4 linked regions of the Lepisosteus oculatus genome follow. The protein of the gene in region 4 interacts with the protein of the main gene of each other region in a pairwise test. Links are inferred from orthologs where the notes say so. Each region holds a gene or a part of one and is shown on either strand. Other genes may lie near its edges.

What was found.
Region 1: the proteins of fibronectin type III and SPRY domain-containing protein 2 (region 4) and leng1 interact in binary tests that used the Homo sapiens proteins (3 or more experiments, as listed by UniProt). The two-hybrid records come from large-scale screens. The link is inferred for Lepisosteus oculatus from reciprocal best matches to the Homo sapiens genes FSD2 and LENG1.
Region 2: the proteins of fibronectin type III and SPRY domain-containing protein 2 (region 4) and pbx3b interact in a two-hybrid assay, tested with the Homo sapiens proteins (3 studies listed by BioGRID and IntAct). The two-hybrid records come from large-scale screens. The link is inferred for Lepisosteus oculatus from reciprocal best matches to the Homo sapiens genes FSD2 and PBX3.
Region 3: the proteins of fibronectin type III and SPRY domain-containing protein 2 (region 4) and coro1a interact in binary tests that used the Homo sapiens proteins (3 or more experiments, as listed by UniProt). The two-hybrid records come from large-scale screens. The link is inferred for Lepisosteus oculatus from reciprocal best matches to the Homo sapiens genes FSD2 and CORO1A.

What each region holds. Positions count from the first base shown.
Region 1 is NC_090718.1:656,723-664,719, forward strand, and holds the start of leng1 (leukocyte receptor cluster member 1), read left to right. Parts: upstream 1-4,846; 5' UTR 4,847-4,934; intron 4,935-4,958; exon of another isoform or gene 4,959-5,976; intron 5,977-6,281; 5' UTR 6,282-6,314; coding exon 6,315-6,539; intron 6,540-6,866; coding exon 6,867-7,034; intron 7,035-7,117; coding exon 7,118-7,395; intron 7,396-7,654; coding exon 7,655-7,859; 3' UTR 7,860-7,997. Other genes in the region: tmc4 (transmembrane channel-like protein 7), read left to right, coding at 1,422-1,605, 2,040-2,170, 2,926-3,081, 3,777-3,855, 4,162-4,257.
Region 2 is NC_090719.1:1,104,657-1,112,528, reverse strand, and holds the start of pbx3b (pre-B-cell leukemia transcription factor 3b), read left to right. Parts: upstream 1-4,803; 5' UTR 4,804-6,549; coding exon 6,550-6,746; intron 6,747-7,820; coding exon 7,821-7,872. UniProt on the Homo sapiens protein: Transcriptional activator that binds the sequence 5'-ATCAATCAA-3'.
Region 3 is NC_090699.1:1,462,131-1,469,885, forward strand, and holds the start of coro1a (coronin-1A), read left to right. Parts: upstream 1-4,557; 5' UTR 4,558-4,684; intron 4,685-7,755. UniProt on the Homo sapiens protein: May be a crucial component of the cytoskeleton of highly motile cells, functioning both in the invagination of large pieces of plasma membrane, as well as in forming protrusions of the plasma membrane involved in cell locomotion.
Region 4 is NC_090700.1:43,293,065-43,300,957, forward strand, and holds the start of fibronectin type III and SPRY domain-containing protein 2, read left to right. Parts: upstream 1-4,670; 5' UTR 4,671-4,780; intron 4,781-5,620; 5' UTR 5,621-5,714; coding exon 5,715-6,566; intron 6,567-7,893. Other genes in the region: WASP homolog-associated protein with actin, membranes and microtubules, read right to left, coding at 563-736, 2,996-3,574.

The sequences.
Region 1 (7,997 bases), on a different chromosome or scaffold from region 4:
TAAGGGTCTGTATTAATCTCTGTGTGTGAGGAGTGTCTCTGGGGTCTGTATTAATCTCTGTGTGTGAGGAGTGTCTCTGGGGTATTAATTCATCTCTGTGTGTGAGGAGTGTCTCTGGGGCTTTATTACTCTCTGTGTGTGAGGAGTGTCTCTGGGGTCTGTATTAATCTCTGTGTGTGAGGAGTGTCTCTAGGGTATTAATTCATCTCTCTGTGTGAGGAGTGTCTCTGGGGTCTGTATTAATCTCTGTGTGTGAGAAGTGACTCTGAGGTCTGTATTAGGGTCTGTATTAAAATCTCTGTGTGATGAGTGTCTCTGGGGTCTGTATGAGGGTCTGTATTAATATCTGTGTGTGAGGAGTGTCTCTGGGGTCTGTATTAATCTCTGTGTGTGAGGAGTGTCTCTGGGGTCTGTATTAATCTCTGTGTGAGGAATGTCTCTGGGGTCTGTATGAGGGTCTGTATTAATATCTGTGTGTGAGGTGTGTCTCTGGGCTCTGTATTAATCTGTGTGTGAGGAGTGACTCTGAGATCTGTATTAGGGTCTGTATTTATCCCTGTGTGTGAGGAGTGTCTCTGGGGTCTGTATCAATCTCTCTGTTTAAGGAGTGCTTCTGGGGTCTGTATTAATCTCTTTGTGTGAGAAGTGTCTCTGGGGTTTGTATTAATCTCTGTGTGTGAGGAGTTTCTCTGGGGTCTGTATAAGGGTCTGAATTAATCTCTGTGTGTGAGGAGTGTCTCTGGGGTCTGTATTAGGGTCTGTATTAATCTATGTGTGTAAGGAGTGTCTCTGGGGTATTAATTCATCTCTGTGTGTGAGGAGTGTCTCTGGGGCTTTATTAATCTCTGTGTGTGAGGAGTGTCTCTGGGGTCTGTATTAATCTCGGTGTGTGAGGAGTGTCTCTGGGGTATTAATTCATCACTGTGTGAGGAGTGTATCTGGGGTCTGTATTAATTTCTGTGTGTGAGAAGTGACTCTGAGGTCTGTATTAGGGTCTGTATTAAAATCTCTGTGTGAGAAGTGACTCTGAGGTCTGTATGAGGGTCTGTATTAAAATCTCTGTGTGAGAAGTGACTCTGAGGTCTGTATGAGGGTCTGTATTAATCTCTGTGTGTGAGGAGTGTCTCTGGGGTCTGTATTAATCTCTGTGTGTGATGAGTGTCTCTGGGGTCTGTATTAATCTCTGTGTGTGAGGAGTGTCTCTGGGGTCTGTATTAGGGTCTGTATTAATCTCTGTGTGTGAGGAGTGTCTCTGGGGTCTGTATTAGGGTCTGTATTAATCTCTGTGTGTGAGGAGTGTCTCTTGGGTCTGTATTAATCTCTGTGTGTGAGGAGTGTCTCTGGGGTCTGTATTAGTGTCTGTATTAATCACTGTGTGTGAAGAGTGTCTCTATGGTGTCGCAATCTCTCTGCCTCTTCAGGATGATTGTGGATCACTGCTCTTGCAAGCTTGCTCAGTGGCTGGGACGTCAGGAGTTTGTGGTGCCCCAGAATGTCCTCAGCCTGGTGTACGGGCAGACAGTGGTGTGGGCGGGTGCTCTCTTCTGCCCCCTGCTGCCACTCATCAACACTGTCAAATTCGTCATTTTCTTCTACTGCAAGAAGGTAGAGCTGTTCATCATCTCTTCTTCACTGGGACTGAGCTGTGTAACAGCTCTTATTGTAACAGACTGTTCTACTGTACTGGGACTGTAGCTCCTATTGTAACAGACTGTTCTACTCCACTGGGACTGTAGCTCCTATTGTAACAGACTGTTCTACTGTACTTGAACTGTAGCTCCTACTGTAACAGACTGTTCTACTGGGTCTGTACTGAGACACGGAGATACGTGCTGTACCAGGTCTGTACTGAGACACAGAGACAGTACTGTACTATAGTGTTCAGTCAGTCAGTGTCTCTGTGCTGTAGTGTCCAGTCAGTCAGTCAGTGTCTCTGTGCTGTAGTGTCCAGTCAGTGTCACTGTGCTGTAGTGTCCAGTCGGTCAGTCAGGGTCACTGTGCTGTAGTGTCCAGTCAGTCAGTCTCTGTCTCTCTGTCAGGTCACTCTGTTCCAGAACTGTCGTCCAGCCTCTCGGACTTTCCGCTCCTCCAGCTCCAACCTCTTCTTCCTGCTGGTGCTGCTGCTGGGACTGGTGCTGGCCTGCGTGCCCCTGGTGTTTGGCCTGGCCGCGTGAGTGACCCCCGTCCAAGGGCTGAAACTACAACACCCAGGTCCCTTCAGGGCCAAACACCCAGCCAGCAAAACACAGCACACTCTGCAGAGCACTATGGGGGCTGTAGTCCCCGGGCTCCAGTCTCCAGCCTCTATCTGGCTCCATCCCCCATAACCCTCTGGGCACCTGACCAGTGGCTGAGCCTCCCACTGCAGGGCCTCATGGGAACTGTAGTTCCTGGACTGGACTGCGCCTCGTGTTCCAGGGTCATCCCACACTATGAATAACTTAACTTCCCATAGTGCTTCGTGACAGTCTGGGTACATCGTGCTGAGAGACCCAGGAGGACAGCAGAGCTTTGTAACGCACCACCAGCAAAACAGAAACATGAGTAATAATAATGAAACAGTCAGTCAGTGTCTCTGTGCTGTGGTGCCCAGTCAGTCAGTCAGGGTCACTGTGCTGTAGTGTCCAGTCAGTCAGGGTCACTGTGCTGTAGTGTCCAGTCAGTCAGTCAGGGTCACTGTGCTGTAGTGTCCAGTCAGTCAGTCAGTGTCTCTGTGCTGTAGTGTCCAGTCAGTCAGTCAGGGTCACTGTGCTGTAGTGTCCAGTCAGTCAGTGTCACTGTGCTGTAGTGTCCAGTCAGTCAGTCAGTGTCTCTGTGCTGTAGTGTCCAGTCAGTCAGGGTCTCTGTGCTGTAGTGTCCAGTCAGTCAGTCAGTGTCTCTGTGCTGTAGTGTCCAGTCGGTCAGTTGTCTCTTCCCCTCTGGCAGGATCCACCCCTCCTGGGCCTGTGGTCCTTTCCGCTCTCTCCCTCAGATGTGGGCGGTGGTCTCTGTGTCGAACGCCTCTCTTCCTCCGTCTGCACAAGATTTCCTGCGGTTCCTGGGCTCTCAGGCGTTCGCTGTGCCTCTCTTCGTCGTTCTCTGGTGAGACGCCTGTTCACGTGTCCATCTGAGACTGTCTGTCCTGTCTCTCTCTCTCTCAGTGTGCTGTGGATCAGTGCTGTGTAACCTGTCTCTATCTGTCTCTCTCTCTCTGTGTGCTATGTGACCTGTCTCTCTCTCTCTCAGTGTGCTGTGTGACCTGTCTCTCTCTCAGTGTGCTGTGAATCAGTGCTGTGTGACCTGTCTCCCTCTCTCAGTGTGCTGTGTGACCTGTCTCTCTCTCAGTGTGCTGTGAATCAGTGCTGTGTGACCTGTCTCCCTCTCTCAGTGTGCTGTGTGACCTGTCTCTCTCTCTCAGTGTGCTGTGTGACCTGTCTCTCTCTCTCAGTGTGCTGTGTGACCTGTCTCTCTCTCTCAGTGTTGTGCTGTGTGACCTGTCTCTCTCTCTCAGTGTGCTGTGTGACCTGTCTCTCTCTTTCAGTGTGCTGTGTGACCTGTCTCTCTCTCTCTCTCTCAGTGTGGCGCTGTGTGACCTGTCTCTCTCTCTCAGTGTGGCGCTGTGTGACCTGTCTCACTCTCTCTCAGTGTGGCGCTGTGTGACCTGTCTCTCTCTCTCTCTCAGTGTGCTGTGTGACCTGTGTCTCTCTCTCTCTCTCTCTATCTCTCTCTCTCAGTGTGGCGCTGGGTGACCTGTCTCTCTCTCAGTGTGCTGTTTGACCTGTCTCTCTCTCTCTCAGTGTGGCGCTGTGCTATGTGGCGGCTCTGGCCTCAGTCTACGGACAGAGTGTCTCTCTGCTCCGCGCTCAGATGCAGCTGGTAAGTGTGAACCAGTCCGGAGGAGGGGCGTGTCAGGGGCTGCTGCTGACCTCTGACCTCCGACCCAGCTTGCCGACGCTGCTGTATCCCCGACTCCAGGAGTGAGCAAGCAGAGCAGCAGCGCTCGGTACACAAACACCCCAGTACCCCCAAACCCCCATGCGCATGCCCTGAGCTGCGCTCTGACCTCTGACCCTGTGGGTGTCGATGCTGCGCAGCCCAGCGAGACCCCCGCCGCACCCCAGTGTTACCCCACTGCTGGGGGTGTTTGGGGGTCCCGGCTGCTGAGGGGTCCTGTCTCACCAGGAGGGGAAGGACAAGCAGTTCCTGGTCAGACAGATCGCCGAGCTGGGCGGCCCCGGAGCAGTGCACGCTGGGCCGTCTGAAGGCGCCGCAGAGTGACCAGTGACCGGAGTGACCAGTGACCGGAGTGACCAGTGAGCAGAGTGACCAGCCCAGGCTGGATCTCCGGGCTTTGACAGCGTGTTTAACGACGGTGGATGGCGTGTGTTTCTAAAAGATTCTTCAGGAGATTAAAACGGTTTAGAGCTGTAACCTGGGTTTTGTTTGGCGTGTGGCTATAATTAAATGAATAATAATAATTATTATTATAATTATTATTATTTTTATGGTGAGCTCCCCAGGGATAACATGACAGAGCGGTAAGGATTCATAATAATAATAAAAAATCTCATCTCGCCGTTCGCGGTTTGGGCTCTGGATTCAGCGCAAATCGGGTTTGGGGCTCAATGTGTGCAACGTTACCGACTTTTACTGGGTTTTATTTTTCCAGCTGGAGGCGGTCGAAACCGAGAGAGGCGGAGCCCCCGGGTCGGCGCGGCTCCGAGCAGCGCAGCCTTTCACTGGCGCAGAGCTGAGCAGCTAAAACAAGACATGTTCCAGTCGAGGCCAAGTCGAGCGCTGCGTTTGTATCATTTACTAGATGTTGGAAATGCAAGCTTTTTTTGTATCTGTTTAGAAAAATACAAAATACGTATACACTGTATGCATTAAAAAAACGTACAGAATACAGAAGTTCTGGCGGAGCGTTTTGAGCGCAGTTTGGCTTTCAAGTGCAGGTAGGAAAGAGTTTCTGATCGGGAAAATAAAAGCGGAAATCCGTAAATATGCTTTTAAAACATCACTCCTGAATAAAATAATTAACATCTCCGGGGCGTTTAAAATCCCCGCGATCGGTTTGATTTCGATTTTGAATCGCAGTGCCTTACTCCCGAAATATTCTCCGATCTGCACGAATCGCCGGTTTCCTGTAAAACCGTGGTTTTCCGATGCACAGCGGCGCCTAATCCATCACCTGAGCTGAGCGAAAACCACACAGCCGCTTCTACGCGGATCTGTAGCTGCAAGCGCACAAAGCGATATGTAGCTGCGCTGTTGAGTGTGTTTTGCCTTGTTTTATTGAGAGAAACTTTGAAAGTGAGATATACGCACCTTGCAGCGGTGTCGGCGGCGGCTCCAATTGCAAAGCGGAACCCGACGGGGGGCGGGGTCAAGGGGGGGCGGGGTGTTGCCGCCGGACAGGCCTGGCCAATCGGGAGGCGAGCGCGGTTGTCGTAGACCAATCGGGAAAGGCGGAAGGTGGGGCTAAGGGGAGAGGCGCGGAACTGAGCGCTGCGTGACGGAGAAGACAACCAATCACAGGACAGAACCGGGGAGGGGAGGCGGTGCTCTTGACATAATGTCATCCAATCGAAGCCCCGCGGCACAAAAAACACGGAAATGCCGCCTAGAGGAAACCCACGTTCTTTAAACGCTTTGCGTCTTTCCCGACTAGAAGACCCTTGGCACTGCCGAGGTTTGTTCGGTAGGAGTGTATCCCATGTTTTAAATATGTGATTAGATCACTTTAAGACGTTGGTTAGGGTAAAAAGAAAGATTTCGTGTGCACCAAGGAAATAGGCGGACCCGCGCTACAGACCGACGGCGTCTCCACTGGCGACGAGTGATTGACGTCAACCTGAACCAATCGGAAGGAAGAGAAGCGAAGGCGGGACGAAGAGGTGTGGACCAATTGCAGCGCCTGATACGACAGGAAGTGCCTGTGGTTTCGGCGGACACTGCGTCACCGCTCCTGTGTTTACAACATGGAGGATTCCCTCGGTGAGCGGCTGATATGAATTTGTATCAAGTGTTTTGAGCTCATTCCGTGAGACTTACGAGCGGCCGGGACTCGCGGACTCGTGAGGGAGCAGGGAAGTGTGTGAGAAAACCTTTTATTGCGCTCAGATTGCGTTGGGGCTGTGAGAGCTGTGGTCTGACGTTGCGGCGATCCAGCCGTTCGCTGGGGCTCCGTGAAAGGTTCCTAGCCACTCTCCTGCTATTAAATCACCGGTTTGTTTCTGTTTCGAGTTCAGTGTTGTCTGCAGAAATGTTTTTGTATTGCGATTTCCCCATGCTGTTGGCAGGTGGGTAAACCCTCGTGTTCGTGTTCTCCGTGAATGAGCTGGAAGGGGCTCGTGTGCACCCGAGTGCTGCGGCGGACGCTGCCGCAGCTGGTTCTGCTTGTGAAGGAGATTAAAAGTCGCGGAATCATGAATATTCTGCCCAAGAAGAGCTGGCACGTGCGCAACAAGGACAACGTGGCCCGCGTGCGGCGGGACGAGGCGCGCGCCGCCGAGGAGGAGCAGGAGCTGCGCCGCAGGGTCGAGCGCGCGGAGCAGGAGGTAACCATGACAACAGCCGCCCCTCGCTGTAGGGGCCGGCCCGTCCCAGCATGCAGCGGGAGCCAGGCGGGGTATCATCATGGGGCAGGCACACGCATGCGCACACTCTCTCGTACTGACACACACACTCACCCCAGCTCGCACTGGGGACAGTCTTCCTAGAAACCAGTTTAACCCGGGTGTCTTTGTCTTGGGGGTGAGACCCACACAGACAGTGGGGACACATACAACCCAGTGCAGCGTCTCGTGGTCCGAACTGTCCTGTCCCCCAGTATAGTCGGGGGGCCTGCTGGTGGCGCCCCCTGCTGACAGCTCTGTGTCTCTCAGGCCCGGACGGAGCTCCTGAGGAGGAAGTCTCGAGCTGCGCTGCCCCAGGGCGAGGAGGGGCACGAAGGACAGGCGCCGCTGGTGGGGCACCTCGACCTCTTCCCCCCGGAGGAGGGGGCGGAGAAGCGAGGGAACGAGGAGTACCTGCGGGAGAAGAGGGAGGAGAAGGTGTGTCCGGCGCCGCGGCTCCGTCGGCCCGGTCCGAGCGCCCCGCCTCTGTCCCGGCCGCCAACCTGTCCGTCTTCCCGCAGGAGCGCCAGGAGCGCGCCATTGGCCTGCTGGTGTCGCTGGGCCCCGCCCCCGGCAGCGAGGCCACGCCCTGGTACCTGGAGAGGCGGGTGGGGGCGGAGCCGGGGGAGGAGCTGGGGGCGGGCCGGGGGGAGGGGGAGCGAGAGAAGAAGGACCGGAGGCTGAAGGCGGCGCTGGACCCCCTGAGAGACGTGGACCGAGCCCTGCAGACGAAGAGCAGGCGGGTGGAGAGGAAGAGGAGCAGGAAGAGGGAGCGAGAGCAGGAGGAGGGCGGGCAGAGGTAAGGGCTTATGCGTCAGGTTAGAATCGGCAGCTCCCACCGGAGTGAGAGTCAGGTGGACACAGTGAGGTGTACAACCTCTCCTTGCCATCACACAGCAGACCCGATTCCCAGTCCAGCCCAGCCCAGCGCCACGTTCTGAGACTCCGAACGAGGCAACAGGACTATTTTTTCTGTAACGCCAATGGATGTGTTTTGTTGCAGTAATGTGATAACTGGTCTGAGAAATGTCCAGTGTGCTGACCGCTGTGTCCCTCAGCTCTCTGGACAGGCTGCGGGAGGAGCGCGTGCGGAGGGAGGCGGAGGAGAGGCGCCGGGCTCGGGCCCTGCTGGCGAGCCGGGCCGAGGGGGAGCGGTCAGCGGCGCAGGAGCCGGACGAGAGGGACAGACCCTACAACAGCCAGTACTGTCCCCAGCTGGCTCGGCGGCCGCGGCGCAGGGACGGGGATCTGGGCCCCCTGTGAGGAGGGAGTCCAGTAACGCCCCCCTGCAGCCACAGAGCAGGGCTCCTGGGTGAAGACGAGAGGAGAACGGGGCACAGACCCCTGCAGCCACAGTTTCTTCCAGCTCTTCTTGGATTGGCCTCAGCCACCCACCACTCT
Region 2 (7,872 bases), on a different chromosome or scaffold from region 4:
TATCGTGAGAATACTGTTTTCATGACTAAATGGCTTTAGTGTGGCCAGTGTGAGTTATTTGCCCTTTGAAAAAAAAAAGATGCTAATGGCTCTTTGGAGGTAAAGACTTTCTGACTGCCCCTTTGTCTTCATAATTAAAAGCCCTTTTAGAAGATGGCAATGCTAGAAACGTTTGCTTTTCAAAACAGCGAGAGTGATGATGGATTGCTTAAATTGCTCTCTCCTGATAAAGATTCTGAAATGTGCACAAAGGAGGAAGCAATTTAATTTAAAAAATGTACAACGCTTTATACCAGTTAATGCACTTTGGAGCATTTTATGTATTGACATCCTATGTTTTGTTCAGCAAACACTAAGCGCCAAGTGTCTTCTGGCAACAGAGATCAACTTCACATGACTAAGTTCTGCACTGTGTACGCTTTGAGCTTCATAGCACAGGGCATTCATGATGCCTTAACAATTTGTTCACCCTGAGGATTATGAGCATCTAAAAATAAACGATCTTGTGCAAGGATTAGAAGCTAATAAGGTAAAATATTTGGGGAAGAAGACACATGATGAGTTGCCCAGGGTACCAGTGTACCTTAGTGATTAGCTTACACCCCCTCACACCGATCAGAACCGTGCACTGCTGAGGGTTTAACCATAACTGTGGAAAAAAGGAGAGGCCACTGCCGAAATCAAATTCTTCTGAGTTGCTGGTTTAAGGCCGTTTTTCTGGATGAACAGCTTGGGGACGGATTTAAAATGACATGCTTTTTACAAACACCAGGAAAAATCAAAGGCTCTTCTATCAGCAAATCTTTTTTTTTTCCTTCTAAAGTCCTCACTCTTCTGTCATTAGGGAACAGGGCTCAATTAAAGAGCCCAACCGGGAAATTTAATTTAGGCAGAATAAAGCCTAATAGAAATACTGCACAACCGTGGACATAACCAATTTATCTATACAGTAAGAACTCCATATTAAGTGTCATGAAATTGCATTAAAAGGAATTGATCGCACTGCTTTGTTTCTTTGTCAGTGCCTGTACTGTACAGTGGCTTCCTTTGATCTGAAATTTCTTCCTCGTTATACATATATTTTTAAATGTATTTTCATGTGTTGCTTTTTATTTTTCACTGTGAAATGCAGCATTCTTAAATCACCAGTGAAACTAGTGCAGCGTCTTTTTTTTTAATTCCTCTGGTAATCTCGGTTGCCAGCCTCATTAAAAGTATAAGGCGCTGAATGCAATATTAAGTGGCTTTGCTTTTCCCCAGTGCTGCTCGCCCCCATACCTTAGCTCTGAAATTTTAAATTGTTTTACTCCGCTTGCTTTGAAACATGTTACTAAATTAGTAACACCGTCAATCAATTAAGAAACAAACAACACACAATTGTCCTGAGCTGGAAGTGTGTGTGTGTGGTGGAGGGGGTGATAAAATATAAACTTGCTTTGATGCAGCAATAAAATCTGGCCCCTGCATTGTCCCTGTCCGTGAGATGTGACAAATACACAGAAAGGCAAATGCATTATTCTTTCTCAGGCCACAGTTACACTGTAAACACACAAAATGACTAATATATGGTCGAAACATCATGCCACAGCATTTAATCAATGACTTAAACAGTTGAATCAATATAAATTCCTAATATTTTAAGCATACTGGCCTCTATAAATCTTGTGATGTGGTTGATTGCAAAGTGTTTCAGGGGCCTATCCATGCATTGTATATAAAGACTCATGTAAATCAAACGCCACTACGACAGAACAAGGAGTTTTTTGACCTCTAGAAAAAAAAATGGCAGAAAAGACAGGAATCCTTTCCTTCAGCAGGATCTCCTCAGTGGCGTCCGGAATTGGAGTATTTAAGCAAAATACTGGAGCCGCGCAGCTCCTGCAGAGTTCGGAGATGCCCCCCCTTGTCTGCTGTGGCCGGAGAGAAAAGTCTCTCGTCTCTGAAATGCAAACGACAAGCATTACTGTTGCTGTCCTCGACGTCAGGAGAGTTCACCCCTTTCACCTTCCGTGTTTCAGCAAACCTGGGAATTCAGAGATTAAAACATGAAAATGTGGACCCCTCTCCAAAATCCTGACCAAATGAAAACATCATTCACCTCACCGCGTTTCGCAGCTTTGAAACACTTGCACGTCGTCTGGTGGGAGTGTTGCGTTTTCTTACGAGGAAGAGGGGGAAAAAATGTGGCGTTCCTCTATCCCCAACAACAGGATTTTCCCAAAGGAAGTTTTACTCCATGCATATCTGATTATTTGCTATTTAATTATCAAATGTTAATTCCCCTTGTAACAATGTGTCAGGATAGGCAGCCTGCAGGGCTTTGGAATCAATTCATGCACCGCGGTCTGTGAATCGGCGCAGCGTTTGCTAATTCTCAGTGTACCGTCTTGTGTTCGCGCATTTGCAGAACTATGTCTGATTGACTTTCAAAGTGCATTCCAATTAACAGCTTTATTTCCTCCTCTCTCTCTAATTTTAGATAATTACTCCCACCATCATCATCAAAAAAAAAAAGAGCCCTGCTTTCTTCCGCCGGCACGGGGACAGACTGTGGCAGGGCTGCTCGGCTTCCCGGCCGCTCCATCGCCGTGCTGTAATACCGCCAGCTCCTTAATTGTCATATTGATCCTGCTCATTCCCAATTAAATAATTAAGGGCCATTCTGTAGTGGAGCAGATAGGTCGGGCTGTGACCTGGGCCGAGCGGCCGCGGGTTTCAAGCCCGCACTGTGTCTTACTCTGCACTCTGCAGTAAGTTAGGATTTCTGCGGGGGATCTGAACGCGTCTGACTGTTCAAGCATGTATAGTGATGATAGAGCACTGGAATTAGGCTCTGCGCTTCGGAACCGGGAATTGCATTGGTGAATACAAGCTGGGCAGACTTATAATAATCATAGGTTTCCTGGACTATATGGGACAAATTATTCAACGCACTCTCCAAGAAAGAAATTGAGCGTCAAGTGAAACAAACACAAAAATGACAATTGTCTCTCCCACTCTCGTGGCAACGGTTTTCAAAATCAATAGCTCAGAATGTTTTGTTTTTACCGGTAATCTCGATGGAAAACGTGTGTAAAATCGGTGGAAGACACGTGTGGCCTTGCTGTGTCTGCGCTGCGGACGGCGGCTAATACATACTGTCCTGGCTTGTGGCCGTCGCCTATAAGCACACAAAGATCCCTGCGGGTCCTCTGGATTTTGAAAAGTCGGTCTGGTTCCCTTAGGCAGCTAGCTAGCTCTTCGGCGGCTGTGGGTTTGAAAGGTGACCGATGCGGTTTCACGTCTACAACTTGAACGAGGCGCCCACCCGCGAGCCGTGTTTATTGACGCCTCTGGCGAGCGGCGCGCTCCCTCCGCTCCCGAGGTCAAGTTCAAACCGCGGCTCGCGGTCCGGGTCCTCCCCGCGCGCGGCGGGCAGCCGGTACTGGTCCACAGCCCCGTGCAGGCAGACACGCGGAACGCCCCAGCTCGAGGCGGCAGTCAGCTGCACCCCGGAGCAGAAACGTCCGGCTTATTGCACAGTCGATAAATGGGCTATATTATATAACTGTCAGAAATAACATATATCCCATTTTGCAAAATTATCCAGTTATCCGAATGCGCTATTTTTGGGGCGTACTTGTATGTTTTTTATTTTAATTTTCCAAATCAAGCATTTATTTTATTCGTAAAATTTGATTTTAGACACTTACAGGACTTATTTGTAATGCAATTGTTCCCTAACGGTATTTCAAAAGTAAGAATAAATAAAAACTAGCAATGTGCAAAATATTAACGTTTATTCCAGTAAGCGGAACATCGTGTAACCCCACCGCCTGCCAACTTTGCAAAAATAACACACGCGTGTGTTTGTACTTTCGTGTGTTTCTGGCAGCTCTGCACAAAACTATAAAACGCTGGATGACCAACAAGCGCTAAATTAACTTCAGAACTTCACTTCTGTACCTCTTGTCGGCTGTAGTGAGTCACACGTAAAACACAGTTAAAAAAAAAAACCTAAATGTGAACAAATATTTAACGTACAGCCTAAAATTGTACAGAAACAGGGAGCTGGTGCACTAGCCTGGTTGGACTGTTAAAATATATTTTAGGAAGAACGTGTTGTGATAACAACAAAAAATCCGATTGAATTTCTAAGACGGTTTGTTGAAATCAGGGAACAGGAATCCTTCAAATATAATCTTTCCTGAATTCTCAACATTAGTTTTTGCTTATTTGCATTAATGATAATAATTCATTAGTATTTTTTCTATTTAAGGTCTGATTGCAGGAATAAACGATGGGATATTCGGTGATAACAATAACCCTTAAAAGTTACAAAGAATAACTCGTTTTCAGTTTAACAGTGCAAGTGGACTAATGCATAAATACATCACACACATTTACCACGTACTTTCTCTCCGTCGGGCGACAGTGAATTCTTCTTGAAAATACCTCGGCGAGTTTGTCTGGGGGCGTTAGAAGAAAAGTGTGTAGCTTTCAGAGAATAAAATCTATTTGAAAAAGGAAAAGAATAAAAAAAAAATGCCATTTCAGTGTCTACTCTGAGTGTCCGGAGGGATGACTTTACCGAGCGGTCAGGTCAGGGTTTGGAGAACATGTCACCTTTACTGAGGAAAAACCCCACGAGCAGAGCCCCGCGCGAGCACGCCTGCTCGTGGTGCTACCATGCGCACATCCTCGCATCCCCGCTCCTTTCTGCTCGTCTGCTGCCATAGCAACTGTAGCAAGGGACAGGGCAGCGCCGCCTGCGCGTGCGGTTGATGTCACCCGTGGCAACGGCCAATCAGAAGTTGCCGGCTGCCTTGCACGGCCATGCTGGAGGTGGCGGACCCTGGGGGCGGGCTGGAGCCTGCCAGAGCTCCCCGCCTATTGGCCGGCGCCGCTGTCAGTCAGGCCCCGACCGAGGCGGGGATTGGACGGCGGCTCTTCGCGATACGAGAACATGGCCCCCCGCCCGCCCACCTTCCGAGCAGCACTGGGCGAGGGGAGGCAGAGCCGCGGTCTTGAAAAGCGGAGAGCCCGAGCAATTCATTATCACTTCTGTATCAAACCATATAAAACTCGGGGCTTGAAGTGTGTGGACTTTTTTTTCCTCCTCCTCCTCCTGCCTTGGCTGTGTTTGTTTTAGTGCACAGCGCGCCCGTCCAGCGCTGGTGAGAGCTGTCAGCCGACGGGGCATTTTTTTTTGCATATATAGCGCCTTCCAGTGCAGCCAGGAGAACAAAAACCAAAAAAAAAAAGAGAGAGGGAGAGGGAGAGGGGGGTGTGGAGGAGGACGCGTCCTTTATTTAACGCGTTCCCTGCGTGTCGTGATTATTATTACCATCATCATCACTGTGGCCATTAGCGTGGCTCGAGCGGTGTGTTTCGCCGGGGTCTCTGCGCGCGGCGGCGCCACGGACTCAGACCCCTCCTCTCGTGGGCGGGCCGCGCGCTCTCATTGGGATGCTGCCTCTCTGCGCGCGGTCTGACACGTCTGCACTGAGTGAGTGACATTGGCACCTTGTCAATCGCTCACTAGTGCGGCCATCAAACACCATAAAGCACACAGAGTCAGGGATCCGGGCTCATAAATTTCAACAGCCAGATCTTTTTGCGCATTGCTTTACAGCGTGTAATTAATTTATTATTTTTTTTCTGGCGATTCTCTCTTTTTTTTTTTGGGGCCTCTGTTATTTTTCGCCCCCCTCAAAGAAGCTCCAAAACTTTTTTTTTGTGTTTTTATTTTTTAATTGTTGTCATCATCACCATCATTCTTACTGTCGCCGCCGCTGGTCCTGGGCATTTAAAATATCTATATTTTTTTTTCTCAAATTTGATTTTACTTATGTGTTGGGTATTTTTACCCTTTGTTACATAGCAAGACGCACGCTGTAGACAGGTAGAGCATGTTTTGCTGTGCTTTTTAATTTTTATTTCATTTTTTTCTTTTTTTTTTTGTGCGTGCAACTTTAGCTTTGGAAAGGTCTTTTTGGGGGGGTTCCCTGCTGGTTTAATGGGGATTCTGGCAAGTTTGCAAGAAGATTTGCACGGGGAGAACAAGCCGAAAGAAGACTCTACAAACACATGAAAACAATGTGCAGGGAGCTATAGCACGAGACGCCAAATCGCACGCAAAACCCGGCGAGAAGGTCTGAAGACGGTCAAGACACGCGAGCTGTCATCCGATTGCCGAAGTATCAATAACTGAAGTACAGAATTGATATCGGTGCCTCAATGCAACTACCAGCATAAAATTGATCCTGCAATTCTAAAGCTACTTCGGATCGAGGGAGAAAAAAACCCCACAAACGCGAAAAAAGTGATTTCTGGACACGCGATTGCTGCCGGTACAATTACTGCTATACAAATAGAGATTCTTAGTTTTGCTTCTTTTAATTTTTTGATCCGTTTCCCCTCCTCTCAGCCTCTCTTTCTTTCCCGCGCGCCCACCGAATTCCTCCTTGTATGTGATTTTGTCCCGCAAATCCCCCCTTTTTTATTTTCCTTGCTGGCTCCGAGCGTTGTCTCTCCCGGAGAAACGCATTGATTGTGCTGCGGCAGAGCATGGACGAGCAGTCCCGGATAATGCAGACTCTCGGCGGTGTCAGTCTGGCTGGCCACTCGGTGCAGGGAGGGATGTCCCTGCCTCCCCCGCACGGACACGAAGGGACGGACGGGGACGGCAGGAAACAAGACATCGGGGACATTCTGCACCAAATAATGACCATTACTGACCAAAGTCTGGACGAGGCGCAAGCAAAGTTGGTTCCTTTTCTAAAATTACCTCAGATTTGTTGCATGTATGGTTGCTAACCTATTATGAACCTTTAGAGCCAGTCTAGTGGTTATGCTGTCGCTACTAAAATTAGAATCGCATGGATCACAATGGTCATATTTATTGGCTGTGTGGTATATATATATTTTTAAATATAGCGGGACAAGGGGGCAAATGTAGATAAGTTATATTGTAGTGCTTGTGCCATTTCTCTTTAACTCTCGGGAGGCAAAGTATCTTTCTTGCTTCTCGGATGTACACCCGGCTGTCATCGTAGTAAAAAAATAATAATCGGGATTTTCTCTTTATCTCTTTATTTTTAAATTCACGGAGAAGTCCTTATTTATGGGGCGGGGAGTAGTGTCTTTAAAATCTTGAAAAGCAGAGGAATTGTAGAAATATTGTTGCAAAGTGCCCTGGTGCTGATGTTTATGTACATGTGTGTGCACAGTGTAAAAACAAGCAAGCGTGCAAGATACATTTGTAGCCCAGCATTTTACAGACTGTTACCTGTTAAAGACCCGGAGACGCCTGGTCCGAAAGTATAGAAATCATTCTAAAAACAGGCTGAATAATTTCTATTTACTGAAAAAAAAAAATACAACGTTTCAAACTGCTAAATAAGAACTTGTTCAAGCTCAAGTTCAATTGCTCAGCGTGTGGTTTTGTGTAACCTGTGTTTTACCCCCGATTGTCACCTCTTTCCCACTGAGCTACAGCCTCACTGTAAAACAACAACGCTGTAATAAACTAGGATCTGAGGATCTGATCAATTATTTTAGGTTCTTTGGAAATTACTGTTTGCAGCAGAATTTAACGCTCATGTCGAGAATCTGAATTTTGTGGCCCGTCACCTGCCGAAAAGAGTTCATTTGATCAGGGATAGGCAATATTATTATTATTACAAATAAATAAATGGAATATTCATTTAATGCTCGCTAGACGGGATGATTAAAGCGGGCGGGTAGGAAATGAGGAGATGTGCACAGTATTGTGTTTTTAAAGTTGTTTTGCAGTGTTGTATATCATGTTTTCTTTTTCTTGCCGTATACTGTAATAGGAAACACGGATTGAACTGCCACAGGATGAAACCTGCGCTCTTCAGCGTCCTC
Region 3 (7,755 bases), on a different chromosome or scaffold from region 4:
TATTTTTATTTGCTTTGGCAACACTGATTGTACCCATCGGTCATGCTAATAAAGCACCTTGAATTGAATTGAAAAATTGAGTGTGTGTCTCTCGCCCCTCACCCCTGAGAGAGTGTCTCCCCCTCACCCCTGAGAGAGTGTGTGTCTCTCGCCCCTCACTCCTGAGAGAGTGTCTCCCCCTCACCCCTGAGAGAGTGTGTCTCTCATTTCTCACCCCTGAGAGTGTCTCTCGCCCCTCACCCCTGAGAGAGTGTCTCCCCCTCACCCCTGAGAGAGTGTGTGTCTCTCGCCCCTCACTCCTGAGATTGAGGACATGGCGAAAACAAATGGTATTGTACCAAGTTTCCGGAGCTCCTAAATTAATTGGAAATCTCCGCACACCAAGGGTCTTTCCTGGGTAAATCTGATGAACAGTTCTATACATCTCCCTCACCTAGCTCGAGCCAGGATCTGCGCGGGCGGGCGCAGGCTGTGAGGGAACAAGTCCAGGTGTGTTCCTGCTGAGAAGAGAAGAAACACAGCTGGTTATACAGCATTCATCCCTATTTTATTCCAGTGGAATTGGATCCGAAACGAGTTGTCCAAACTAGTTTAACTGACAAGATATTGCTGTATTCGTTATGAACTATTATAAACCTACTGTATGGCTGAATGTGGCCTTTCCTTTCTGCCTGATCCAGGCTGTCAGTCCTCCATGGTTTCTGATGGACCACTGTCACAGTTTCTGGAAGGAGGCAGCGCCCTTCTTCGGATCTGCAGCACGGGCGTCAACTTTCAATCTAGTATTGATGAACTGTAGCAGGACATTATTATCTGTTCACAGTCGGTGTGATTAGACATTGCCCCATCAGCACCAGGTCAGTGTTTTACCCAGATGACACCACCTTCAGCCCCGTTTTCAGAGCACAAGTCCCCTCTTTCTGATGCTCCGGTGGTATACCGACGGGAGGGGTCGCCTACGGAAGCACATTGCCCCACATCGGAATTATGTCAGTGAAAATACCCCCTACTTCTTGAGAAACGAGCAGATATACACCACCAGCTTAGATTATTTTATGAATAATTCTGTAATCATTTTATTTTGGAATGTGTGTTAAATGTTCAAAAGTCTATTTAAGCCCCGTTCTGCCTGTGTTTCACAAATATTTTAATCCTCCAAATATTTTCCGAAAGACTTGACAGTACATCCAAGACAAGAGAGGCATAGAGTAACCTAGAGAGACCGCCAGCTGTAGATAGGATTATAGGAGCTCCTATAGACAGGAACAGGTGTGGGGCTCCTATAGACAGGAACAGGTGTGGGGCTCCTATAGACAGGAACAGGTGTGGGGCTCCTATAGACAGGAACAGGTGTGGAGCTCCTATAGACAGGGAGGGGTATGGTGCTCCTATAGACAGGGAGGGGTATGGTGCTCCTATAGACAGGAACAGGTGTGGAGCTCCTATAGACAGGAACAGGTGTGGGGCTCCTATAGACAGGAACAGGTATGGTGCTCCTATAGACAGGAACAGCTGTGGAGCTCCTATAGACAGGAGCAGGTGTGGGGCTCCTATAGACAGGAACAGGTGTGGGGCTCCTATAGACAGGAACAGGTGTGGGGCTCCTATAGACAGGGAGGGGTATGGTGCTCCTATAGACAGGAACAGGTATGGTGCTCCTATAGACAGGAACAGGTGTGGGGCTCCTATAGACAGGAACAGGTGTGGAGCTCCTGTAGACAGGGAGGGGTATGGCGCTCCTATAGACAGGAACAGGTGTGGAGCTCCTATAGACAGGAACAGGTGTGGGGCTCCTATAGACAGGGAGGGGTTTGGAGCTCCTATAGACAGGAACAGGTGTGGAGCTCCTATAGACAGGAACAGGTGTGGGGCTCCTGTAGACAGGGAGGGGTATGGTGCTCCTATAAACAGGGAGGGGTATGGCGCTCCTATAGACAGGAACAGGTGTGGAGCTCCTATAGACAGGAACAGGTGTGGGGCTCCTATAGACAGGAACAGATGTGGAGCTCCTATAGACAGGAACAGGTGTGGAGCTCCTATAGACAGGAACAGGTGTGGTGCTCCTATAGACAGGAACAGGTGTGGAGCTCCTATAGACAGGGAGGGGTATGGTGCTCCTATAGACAGGAACAGGTGTGGAGCTCCTATAGACTGGAACAGGTGTGGAGCTCCTGTAGACAGGGAGGGGTATGGTGCTCCTATAGACAGGGAGGGGTATGGTGCTCCTATAGACAGGAACAGCTGTGGAGCTCCTATAGACAGGAACAGGTGTGGGGCTCCTATAGACAGGAACAGGTGTGGGGCTCCTATAGACAGGAACAGGTATGGTGCTCCTATAGACAGGAACAGGTGTGGAGCTCCTATAGACAGGAACAGGTGTGGTGCTCCTATAGACAGGGAGGGGTATGGCGCTCCTGTAGACAGGGAAGGGTATGGCGCTCCTATAGACAGGAACAGGTGTGGTGCTCCTATAGACAGGGAGGGGTATGGCGCTCCTATAGACAGGAACAGGTGTGGTGCTCCTATAGACAGGAACAGGTATGGCGCTCCTATAGACAGGAACAGGTGTGGGGCTCCTGTAGACAGGGAGGGGTTTGGAGCTCCTATAGACAGGGAGGGGTATGGCGCTCCTATAGACAGGAACAGCTGTGGTGCTCCTATAGACAGGAACAGGTGTGGGGCTCCTATAGACAGGAACAGGTATGGTGCTCCTATAGACAGGGAGGGGTATGGTGCTCCTATAGACAGGAACAGGTGTGGGCTCCTGTAGACAGGGAGGGGTATGGTGCTCCTATAGACAGGAACAGGTGTGGAGCTCCTATAGACAGGAACAGGTGTGGGCTCCTGTAGACAGGGAGGGGTATGGTGCTCCTATAGACAGGAACAGGTGTGGAGCTCCTATAGACAGGAACAGGTGTGGTGCTCCTATAGACAGGAACAGGTGTGGGGCTCCTATAGACAGGGAGGGGTATGGTGCTCCTATAGACAGGAACAGGTATGGTGCTCCTATAGACAGGGAGGGGTATGGTGCTCCTATAGACAGGAACAGGTGTGGAGCTCCTATAGACAGGAACAGGTGTGGTGCTCCTATAGACAGGAACAGGTGTGGGGCTCCTATAGACAAGAACAGGTGTGGAGCTCCTATAGACAGGAACAGGTGTGGTGCTCCTATAGACAGGGAGGGGTATGGTGCTCCTATAGACAGGAACAGGTGTGGGGCTCCTATAGACAGGAACAGGTGTGGAGCTCCTATAGACAGGAACAGGTGTGGGGCTCCTATAGACAGGGAGGGGTATGGTGCTCCTATAGACAGGGAGGGGTTTGGAGCTCCTATAGACAGGAACAGGTGTGGTGCTCCTATAGACAGGAACAGGTGTGGCGCTCCTATAGACAGGAACAGGTGTGGGGCTCCTATAGACAGGGAGGGGTATGGTGCTCCTATAGACAGGAACAGGTGTGGGGCTCCTATAGACAGGGAGGGGTATGGTGCTCCTATAGACAGGGAGGGGTTTGGTGCTCCTATAGACAGGAACAGGTGTGGAGCTCCTATAGACAGGAACAGGTGTGGGGCTCCTATAGACAGGGAGGGGTATGGTGCTCCTATAGACAGGAACAGGTGTGGCGCTCCTATAGACAGGAACAGGTGTGGGGCTCCTATAGACAGGAACAGGTGTGGTGCTCCTATAGACAGGAACAGGTGTGGAGCTCCTGTAGACAGGAACAGGTGTGGGGCTCCTATAGACAGGAACAGGTGTGGGGCTCCTATAGACAGGGAGGGGTATGGTGCTCCTATAGACAGGGAGGGGTTTGGAGCTCCTATAGACAGGAACAGGTGTGGTGCTCCTATAGACAGGAACAGGTGTGGCGCTCCTATTGACAGGAACAGGTGTGGGGCTCCTATAGACAGGGAGGGGTATGGTGCTCCTATAGACAGGAACAGGTGTGGAGCTCCTATAGACAGGAACAGGTGTGGAGCTCCTATAGACAGGAACAGGTGTGGGGCTCCTATAGACAGGGAGGGGTGTGGTGCTCCTATAGACAGGGAGGGGTTTGGAGCTCCTGTAGACTGATTCAGGCTCCATATCTTCTGATATAAAACACAACCACCCTGACTCTCGGGCTCTGTGTTGTACAGGGATGGGCGAGTTGATCCCAGACGTGCTCAGTGGGGTGTGTGTGTGTGTGACTGGTCAGGCCCTGACTCTCTCAGGCTCTGTGTTGTACAGGGATGGGTGAGTTGATCCCAGACGTGCTCAGTGGGTGTGTGTGTGTGTGACTGGTCAGGCCCTGACTCTCTCAGGCTCTGTGTTGTACAGGGATGGGTGAGTTGATCCCAGACGTGCTCAGTGGGGTGTGTGTGTGTGTGACTGGTCAGGCCCTGACTCTCTCAGGCTCTGTGTTGTACAGGGATGGGCGAGTTGATCCCAGACGTGCTCAGTGGAGTTGGTGTGTTTAACAAGTCTCACTAGCTTTTTGACTGTCTGTCTGTCTCTCTCTCTCCTCTCTCCCTCCTCTCTCTCCTCTCTCTCTCCTCCCTCTCTCTCACTTCCTCTCTGTCAGTTAAGGCTGCGGTGAGTCTCAGCTCTTCCTCACTCCACTCTCTCGCGCTGAGACGCCGGTCCGCCGCCTGACAGACCCGACTCGACCCGACCCGACCCGGCCTGCTCGTCCTCTCGCTGACCTGGTAAGGACTGTCCAGCGCCTCTGCGTCCGGCGGGGGGGGGAGGGAGGTGGACAGGCTGGCAGAGAGAGGAGGCCAGCGGAGGTTTCTGTGTGAACTCCTCCAGCGTTGTACAAAGGCTGATTGTTGTTGCTAATTGCTGCTAATTGGGTAGCAGAGGCAGCGAGTGTGTGGAGAGAGGGAGAGAGCTCGTGTGGTGTGTGTTTCAGGGACAGGCTCTGTATCACAGCAGACTGGAGTCCCTTCTGCTTCAACTGGGCCTGTTAGAAACACCCACTGTCATCACAGTCCACTGCGCTAACACTGTGTTACAACAGACCAGTTCTGTTATACCAGGAGCTGCAGTAAGAGTACAGTACAGCAGTGTTAGTACATCTCTACTACTGTCTCTCTTACAGCACTGATCTCTATTACTGTCCTACACAGAGACACAGCTCTTTTACAGCACTGATCTCTATTACTGTCCCACACAGAGACACAGCTCTCCTACAGCACTGATCTCTATTACTGTCCCACACAGAGACACAGCTCTTTTACAGCACTGATCTCTATTACTGTCCCACACAGAGACACAGCTCTTTTACAGCACTGATCTCTGTTATTGTCACACAGAGACACAACTCTCTTACAGCACTGATCTCTATTACTGTCCCAAAGAGACACAGCTCTTTTACAGCACTGATCTCTATTACTGTCCCACACAGAGACACAGCTCTTTTACAGCACTGATCTCTATTACTGTCAGACAGAGACACAGCTCTTTTACAGCACTGATCTCTATTACTGTCCCACACAGAGACACAGCTCTTTTACAGCACTGATCTCTATTACTGTCAGACAGAGACACAGCTCTTTTACAGCACTGATCTCTATTACTGTCCCACACAGAGATACAGTTCTTTTACAGCACTGATCTCTATTACTGTCCCACACAGAGACACAGCTCTCTTACAGCACTGATCTCTATTACTGTCCCACAGAGACACAGCTCTCTTACAGCACTGATCTCTATTACTGTCACACAGAGACACAGTTCTTTTACAGCACTGATCTCTATTACTGTCCCACACAGAGACACAGCTCTCTTACAGCACTGATCTCTATTACTGTCCCACACAGAGACACTGCTCTCTTACAGCCCTGATCTCTATTACTGTCCCACACAGAGACACAGCTCTCTTACAGCACTGATCTCAATTACTGTCACACAGAGACACAGCTCTCTTACAGCACTGATCTCTATTACTGTCCCACACAGAGACACAGCTCTTTTACAGCACTGATCTCTATTACTGTCACACAGAGACACAGCTCTTTTACAGCACTGATCTCTATTACTGTCGCACAGAGACACAGCTCTTTTACAGCACTGATCTCTATTACTGTCCCACACAGAGACACAGCTCTCTTACAGCACTGATCTCTATTACTGTCCCACACAGAGACACAGCTCTCTTACAGCACTGATCTCTATTACTGTCCCACAGAGACACAGCTCTTTTGTGCACTGATGTGACCCAGAGAGATGAGACAGAAGTGGCAGAGATGAGAGAGTGCATTCTGCAGAAGAGGGAGAGAGCAGTTAGACCACATCCTCTCTCTATCACACCAACTCCTCACTGTCTCTGTCACACAGACTACTGATCTCTCTGTTTAATGCACAGCTTTCTCCCAGGATCACTGCTGTCTCTCAGGGTCACACTGGATCCATTTCCCAGGGTCAGAGTGGAGCACTGCTCTCTCTCGGTTTCAGAATGGACCACTGCTCTCTCCCAGCGTCAGACTAGATCACTGTTCTCTCTCGGGGTCACACTGGATCACTGCGCTTTCCCAGAGTCAGAGTGGATCAGTGTCCTCTCTCAGGGTCAGACTAGATCACTGCTGTCTCTCAGGGTCACACTGGATCACTGCTCTCTCCCAGGGTCAGAGTGGATCACTGTCCTCTCCCAGGGTCAGACTATACCACTGCTGTCTCTCAGGGTCAAACTGGATCACTGCTCTCTCCCAGGGTTAGAGTGGATCACTGTCCTCTCCCAGGGTCAGACTAGATAACAGTCAGGTCCAGTCCTGTAGTCACAGGAGGACAGCTGGGCCAGTGGCTCAGGTCTGGTCCTGTTGGACCAGGAGGACCGCTGGTCCAGTCCTGTGGAGTGTGATGAGTGTTCAGTGCTGGCTCAGGTGTCTGTGTCTCTCAGGGTGATGTCAGTGCAGAAATGGGGAACCTGCACACAGCTCCGAGCGGGGGGGCAGGGGGCGGGGCAGGGGCAGAGGGCAGGAGCCAGTTTGTGCCCTTATAAGTCGCTGATGTGAGTCTGTGGTTTCTGTTTTGCTGTTTTTAAAAGCAGGTCGAGTTTCAAAACTCTCTGTTTCCACTTCCTTCCTCTGATGCCTGTGTGTGCAAGAGAGCAGCACGTCGAGACTAGAGAGCAGGGTAGAAACACAGTACAGCGCAGTAAAGCCCAGTGAGAGCAGGGTAGAAACACAGCACAGCGCAGTAAAGCCCAGTGAGATCGGGGTAGAAACACAGCACAGCGCAGTAAAGCCCAGTGAGATCGGGGTAGAAACACAGTACAGCGCAGTAAAGCCCAGTGAGATCGGGTTGAAACACAGTACGGCGCAGTAAAGCCCAGTGAGATCGGGGTAGAAACACAGTACAGCGCAGTAAAGCCCAGTGAGAGCAGGGTAGAAACACAGTACAGCGCAGTAAAGCCCAGTGAGAGCAGGGTAGAAACACAGTACAGCGCAGTAAAGCCCAGTGAGATCGGGTTGAAACACAGTACAGCGCAGTAAAGCCCAGTGAGAGCAGGGTAGAAACACAGTACAGCGCAGTAAAGCCCAGTGAGATCGGGGTAGAAACACAGTACAGCGCAGTAAAGCCCAGTGAGATCGGGGTAGAAACACAGTACAGCGCAGTAAAGCCCAGTGAGAGCAGGGTAGAAACACAGTACAGCGCAGTAAAGCCCAGTGAGATCGGGTTGAAACACAGTACAGCGCAGTAAAGCCCAGTGAGATCAGGGTAGAAACACAGTACAGCGCAGTAAAGCCCAGTGAGATCGGGGTAGAAACACAGTACA
Region 4 (7,893 bases):
CATTAACTGGAGGCTGACAGCGATGTCAGTCTCTCTTGTATGCTCGATATGTCTTCTCTGTCAGGATGACCTGGTATTCACTGAAGCACATGATTGCATCAAGAGATTACAGTAGCCTTATTCTCTTTAATTCACATTCTTTCCACATAGAGGACTACTACTGTTTTAATATTTAAAGCACTTGTAATACACATCTTTTTCTGTTGGATTATAAATTAACATACAAATTTAATATCTCAAGGCCTTGAAGATAAGCGTGGACATTTGAACCCATTACTAAATTCAGCTTTTTTGGTCTGAGATCTACAGTACAAATAATGTAAATACCAATCACATAAATACATAATTCAGAAAAGACAGGTTTCTTCTAATCTATCATTCATCCTATTTTACATTGACACCTAGTGGAGCAGCTACAGTTAAGATCAGTTTTTAAGGTAAAAGAGACATTATGTAGCACATACATCAAATAATTAAGCACATAAACCTCCACCGAGGTTTTAAATTCTGCTACACTAATACAATTCTGCTGGTCTTTAACGAGATTTAAGCATGACCGTACCATTATCTCCATTTTACACAACATAGCCAGCTCCCTCATGTCACGGAAGGGCTGGAGCAGGTACTGATACAACTGTGTTGCCACGGTAACTAATTCCTTGTAAGCCTCATCCTCTTCTTCATAAATCTTTAACAGGAGAACCATCTTGTCCGCAGCTTTGTGTTGTTGGAGTATCTGAAAGAAAATATTTATTTTTTTTATAACTGGATTCATTTAACTGCTACTTGTAGATCTTGTGACCAATCTAATCACCATGGGCTTTGGTTGCTTTCTTACAATTACAATACTGGATGCTTGAATATCTGCCAGTCTACATCAGGCTTCACCAACTCTGGCCCTGGGGATCCAGTATCTCAGGACCTGGGTCAATTAATCAAGTGATTTGTTAGATTGAGTACTTCAGAGATCATTTGGAACAAAAATCTGCATACTCTTGAGCTATAAAGGACCACAGTTCCCTTATTTGAACAATTGATATATGCTTAACTAAACAGTAACTTAAGTAACTGAAATAAAGTGTGTTCATTGTTTTGCTAAAAAGGGTGATTATTGTGGCCTATAAGATTAACTGGAATGGGGCTCTCTAGTAAAAAGGTTGGAGACCCCTGGTCTACATAACTAATGTTCATTTATGCCCATGTGAGCATTTATGAAGGGCTATTATTTGTAAAAACAGATAAATAAACAAACATTGCTAAATTAATTAAAGCAATAACAAGGAACCAAAGACGTAACTACAGATTTCTGCAAGAACAGTGCAATTAAGGAATTATGTCCTTCTGCTATGTTGAGTTCCAGCCTTAAACAGTAATTCCTGTTCTTGTTCAAGTTACACAAACAAGTTTAGGTTCCTTATATATCCAACACTGCATCAAGAGAGAAGTCTTATTCAATTATATAATGCTATGCACTCTTTGTGAAACACTGCAAATGTTACTTACAATATTATATTCCTAATACCAACTCTCCAACCCCAGTACATAGAGGTTTTTTAAATTAGTATTTTCTGATTTAAAAGGCTTAGAATAATTTTGCTGTGATCAATTAAGAAGCAATTTTTATAAATGGTCATTTAGAGATCACATGGGCCCATGATCTTCGTACACATCAGCCCCACAAAGTTCTATATTCTTTTAATTGGACAGATCATTTATCTGATCAAACTTTCTGGTCTTTCCAAGTAAAACTAACTGGACTGAGGCTCTTCAGAACAAAGGCTGGTGATCCTTGCCTTCTATCATACAGATCCCAGAATTCAACTTTTCAAGAAAGAGCAAATCCAATCTCCCCTGCTTGACTAGTGTAAGAAAAAGGGAGCAGGTGGGAACATGGCACATGCAGAGTGAATAACTGTAGGCTTACAGGCTACATTACCACCTGGAATGGCACAAGACTGCCCTGAAACCAATTTCAGGCCCATGGTTCTTCTCTGCCCTTGATACACAGGTATGTACACCACTTTCACAGTCTTATCAGCACCACATTTCCAAAAGTAAGTAAGCACCCTGCAATCTTGCATGGGTCAAATAATGAGCTTAAATGAAGCAGCACCAGGAACAGGTGAGGTAGTGAGAGTGGTCACTAGGATATATTGACTTCCTGAGACCAAAGCTTCAGTATCTAATCTTCAAATGATTATTGATAAGATAAGATCACTTTATTTCCATAAACAATTTCTTACATTAGGAATTTGCCTTTTCGCATACCCCAGCTTGCTCTCCATGAGACAAACAGGCAGGGAGAGAAGCTTGGGGTCAGAGCGCAGGGTCAGCCATTTATACAGCACCCCTAGAGCAGCACTGAAAATGAAAAAGCCAGAGGGTCTTTCCTAATCTGAGAGACTGACTACATCAACTTTATTCCAGACATGAAAAGCAGTGCCATATAGGAAAACATTTGGAGGATGATTGTCTTCATTTGCAATAGAAAATGTCAAAGACCTACTGCAGCAGGAATGTGATTCACTCTAAAGGATTGTGCAAAGGGAAAGTTTGCTTCTTGAATCACTTCAGGCACAACACGTTTTCCCTTTCAGTTTCTATATGAACCAGCGCACCAGCTTCTGTCACTGCAATGCTAACTTCGTCAAAAGATCCAAACTGTACTGTATATCACAAGACAAGCACAAACACTTAAAGGCTTTCAAAAACTGTAGCCTGGTTTTGTGTTGGGAGGTTCTGAAAGACAGGAGGGAAACCTGTACCGCTCCACAGCCAACTGACTGTTGACTGTCATCTTCTTCACTCTGTCACTTTTTGTACCCAGACCTCACTAGATATTAGTTTGTTTAGTTCTATTATCAATTTGAAATGTCATATTCCAGCAGCAGTAGACAAAACGCTAAAAGAGATGTTGCCTTGGGACGGACAGCTCGGGGGACGGAAGACAGAAGTGGGACACACAGCAGGCTGACAAAGCATCGACGAGACTCACCTTTCTAAGCTGCTCTCGCGCCCTGACCACCTGGTCCTCCATGCTCTTCTTTTTAAACTCGTGGAGGTTTTCGAAGTACTCCTCAACGTCCCGGCAGTCCTGCGCGAACAGGCAGTCCAGCACGATCGTGCGGCCGCAGATGTCGACGGCGGTGCTGAAGTATCTCTCCAGCTGGCGGCAGGGCCAGTCCAGGTCCATGTCGGGCTCCTCCAAGCCAGACGGCCTGCCCAGGAACAGAAGGTCCCATAGATTCCCCACCTCAAAGGCCGACAAGTCGGGGAAAAAGGCCCCCAGCACGTCGCTGACCCCCGTCAGCTGCCGATGGACATTTCTAAGATCGCTGACCGAAAAGAGGCCGGCCCAGCTGGTCTGCGTGTCCGCCGGAGCCTGCTCTTCCCTGCGCCTCTGCCTCTGCAGGGTCCGGTTGTGACAGGTGACGGCGAACTTGCACTCGATTACATTCCACTGGACGATGAAGCCCAGCTTAAAAGTCTCGTTTTCTTCAAAGACGTTGCTCTTGATGGCTACCCAGCCGTCCAGGCTGTCCAAACGTTCGTAGTCCATGATCTTCCAGCTCATCGAGACGCTGCATTTGGCCCAGAGAAGTCTTTTTCCGGAGACCTAGCGCTGTTGTTTACGCGTTCCGCCATTTGTACTACGTCATTGCCCAGTTGTCATCTTTGAACACCTGACTCACCCGTCACGTGCTCAGAAATGGCGCATGGATGAAAGCTTGCTCTTCATCTGAGAGGGCTTCATTTAAAGTTGAGCTTTATGCGTTTTCGAAGTAGCATTGCATATACTCACCAGAAATGCCTTTAGTCTAAATATAAGTATTTTTATTTTTATATCTTCCCTTATCTTTGTGATGCCATATACCGTAGTTTTCAAAGCAGTGGTTATAATATCTTTTTTTAAATCATTCTTAATAAAACCTCACCATTCTAAACAAAAAAAGTTAACAATTAATTATGAAATATTAAAACCATAACTGCATGTCAGTGTATTCCTGGTAACCGCTGTCGGAACAGATACAACGAGACTCAATTTTATACACTGCAAGAGCTGGGTTGAAAAATTGCTTTTTACAGTATATCTTTGCAACCGCACGTTTTCCCCACGTTACAACATCTATACAGTTAGTCTATACGGTAAGCGTCTATTCGTTAAACTATAGCTGAAAAAACATGTAGCGTGTTTTAATGAAGTGATTTGAGAGAAAAAAAAATGTTTGGTTTGGAATCTAAATAATTTCATACATTTTACATATGCACTTGAATAACGTGATTTATGTTAATGATTCACTCTGTAAATAAGGATTCCTAACCACTGCACACCCATGTCCCCGTATGGACAAGGCGAATGCCTTTAAATAATTGTAAATATAAGTCTCAATGAAAATGCATTAGAATGTCTGACTTCTGTTTTAACATGAATGAGCTCTAGAATCAGAGTTCACATCAACCACACTCGTTAGATCGAAGTATTTTAGAGCAAACGTTAAGCTTTACTGCCCAGTCGCAGATTCAGAGGAAACGTTCAGACTGCTTCCACGGGTGGCCGGCGGATCTGTAAAGAGGTGACCCGATCCCCAGTGACATGTGAGAAGCTGGCTCTTACACAGGGATAGGGTGGGCTGTGACACCGAGCAGTGCCCTTCTATTTTTGTATCGGGGGCTATTTACTGCTGAAATCCCGACTGAATTTACTGCACAGCCACGTCCATGAGCGCCTGCTGAAACTCTTGCGGCAAATCTGGGGAAACCGTGAAAAATACTTGAACAGGTAAAATGACCTTGCATCCCTGGGAACTATTCTTCCTACATTTTTATATCTTAAAATTAACATGCGTTGCTTGCACAAGTTGAGATCAATTTAAATGTTATTTCGAGAATACAGAAGCAATGCGGTTTTCACATTGAAAGGGTATGCAATATTCTATGATTTGTTATTTGTGAACAATTTACATAAGCCATAGTGCATCATTCTTTGACTGCTACAAATACTGCTATCAGCATACACGAAGCTACTGCGCAGTATTCGTTTTGGTGCCTGTTGCTTTAACGTGCCTGCACAAGGTCCCTGAAATCACAGACTCGGTATCTGATGTTCAGCTAAACTGACTGAGAAAAGTCCTTCAGTTGATCAATACGAAAAATTACACTAAACTGTCGGATGACATGGGTTTTCTCTGGCAATCCGGTGATTCATCTGCGGTTAAAATCTCGTATGACTCTCATACTCCTGTTCCCATTGGTACACATCTATCATGTTCGTGCATTGCCTCCCTCATCAATCAAAGACTAAAATTTCATCAGTGTTTCACTACAAAGGCAAAGAAACTGTTTTAGAAATTAGCAACAGCCTTTCCTACAGTATGTGCTGACATTCATGTGATCATCAGTTTCACCTTGAGTATTTCCACTGTCTTATCTGTTTTCAAAAGTCATTTGGAATATACGGTATGATAATATTAAAAAGAGTTTTATTTGACACTGACCGCCATAAGGCATTTCATGTGAGTTCCTGAATGTTAATGTGTAAGTTAGTTGTCTGTATTCCTCGTTCCTCATTCTTCAGGGAAGACAAATATCACACATCTATTTATTCTTATTTTCCATTTAGGATACTCTTCAGGATTTTGAGTACTACGGCTCTTAACCTATCATCTTCCGAGCAAAGCCAAAGACACAATAGCTGGTCCTCTTCATCTGGAGCAATGGACGAGGCCACTAAGCAGTACATTTTCAGTGGGGGAGAGGGGACTCTGAGCAAGGCCTGTGTGGATACCCCAGTGCTAAAGGATACCCCAAGTGACGAACCTGAAGGCATAAGTTTTTATAACATGGACCTCTACGAGTCCAGAGAAAGGCTGGACATCTTTGTAGAGGAAGTGCCTGTGAGCACGATGGCTGACAGCCAGTCTGTGCAGGAGCCCCTGGAGAGCCCACAGAGAACAGAAGAAGAAGAGTATGACCTGTACACTGCAGAGGTGACCGAGATGGCCAGGCAGTACGGGGTGTGGGACGACAAGGAGGAGGGGGACATGGGACTCCCTACCCAAGAGCCTTACGTCTTCATCACAGAAAATCCACCGGCACCCACCAAGAGAGAGGTGGCAGAGTCCGGCAGCACTGATTTCAAAAGGCCGGATTCGCAAGAGGAAATGGGACGTTTTCGGACAGCTGACCAGCGTTTCTCAGTGGAGACAAACGACTCGTTGTGCTTCGACACCTGCGTTCCTGCGTCGGACGAAGCCAAGAGCCCACCACTCACATGGGCCGGTGCACAGCAGCAGTGGAAAGAGGAGGAGGCCGAGGAGGAAGGGACGCATCGCGGCGGTCCCGAGCAGTCAGCGGGAGCCAGACTGAGGGAGTGGAAGTGCTCTGAGGAGAGCCGAGAAGACAGGGCCTTGGAGGAGGAGCAGGTGTCGGCTGAGAGCAGTGAGAATGAGCCTCCTGATGTCTTCTGTACTGACTGCCAGACCCCCATCCGAGCTTTCTACAAGCTGTTCGGACCACACAAGGACCACCGAGTCATTCAGATAGCGAACGCTGCCGAGGAGGTGAAGGTGAGGGGCTCTTTCACAAAGGCCAGAGCTTCAGCTGGATCCCCAGGACACAGTATGAAGTCTCCAGGGGCTATCTGTTGCACACGTGAAGCACTGAAATGATTGAGACCCTGAAGACTGAAATGGGTGGAATATATTATAACAAAATTATTAATGTTGACTTTGAAGATTAAACAGTGCAATGGATGTCACTTTAAATTTAAATTTGGGAAAACTATACAAGTTTTTCCAGAAAAAAGTTACACATCCATATGTACTGAGTATCAAAACAGCATTTTCATTTATAAATGCAGCAAATGCACTAGATTCTTAATAAACAAACAACATTTTTTGTAGCAGATGGTTTGACATTTTGCTGTATGGACATGATATACAGTATGTGCTGTAGATTCAATAATCTTTGTCACCATCAGGGGTGATCAACAGTTTGTCTACTGCAAAAGTTACAGGGTAGTAGACTGGTACCATAATTGGAAGCAATGTGCATTTGTGATGAAAGCTTTGCACTAGGTTAAAGATTTCTGTCCCATTCCCCACATGGAGCCTGGACAAGCACAGGCTTGTCCATTGGTTTATGAGCGCTAAAACGCCACATTTCATCCCAACTCATCCCACAAATGGTCAAAGGGGCTCACGTCTGGCTTCTACGATGTAACTGTAACATTCTCTAATCACAAAAGGGCACTGTTACAGGGGCAGCATGAGGGGCAGGTGCTGTCCTGCTGGAATGTTGTCACTTCAGGGTGAACTCGCCGGAATGGAAGTGAGTGAGTCTCAGGTCTCAAGTCAATCAATGTGGCGCCGTGCAGCCAGATTAGCAGCAATCACTGCGAGAGAAGTTCTGCAGCAACTAGGCACACCAACCCAGAACATCACACCTGGGCCTCCTCTTTCCTTGGTCTGAGCACTGAACAGTTAGAGGATCATACTGCATGTCTGAGCCAGACTACCTGACGTCAGTCAGGGTGGCCAACATGAAATCTTGACTGATCTCTATAGAGGACTTTATTGGCAAGTACAACTGAAGTGGCTTCAACCAGCCTCCAGCCTATTGATGGCAAGACAGTGTGGTTCTCTTGACAAGCAAGTTGCGTTAATTCCTGTATTTCTTTGTCTTGATTTTCACTAGGTGTGGCATTCGATAGGTTGATCCAAAATCTATATATTTGGGTTTTCTAAAAATATACATGCATATACAGATGATCATTTTTTTTTACTGTATGAATATTTCTGTATGTGGAAACTTGTACACTTTAGTTAATGTAATATGTAGACTCAAACTGCACCGTGAACAATTTAGAAGAAAATGCCTTGTTATATATGCATA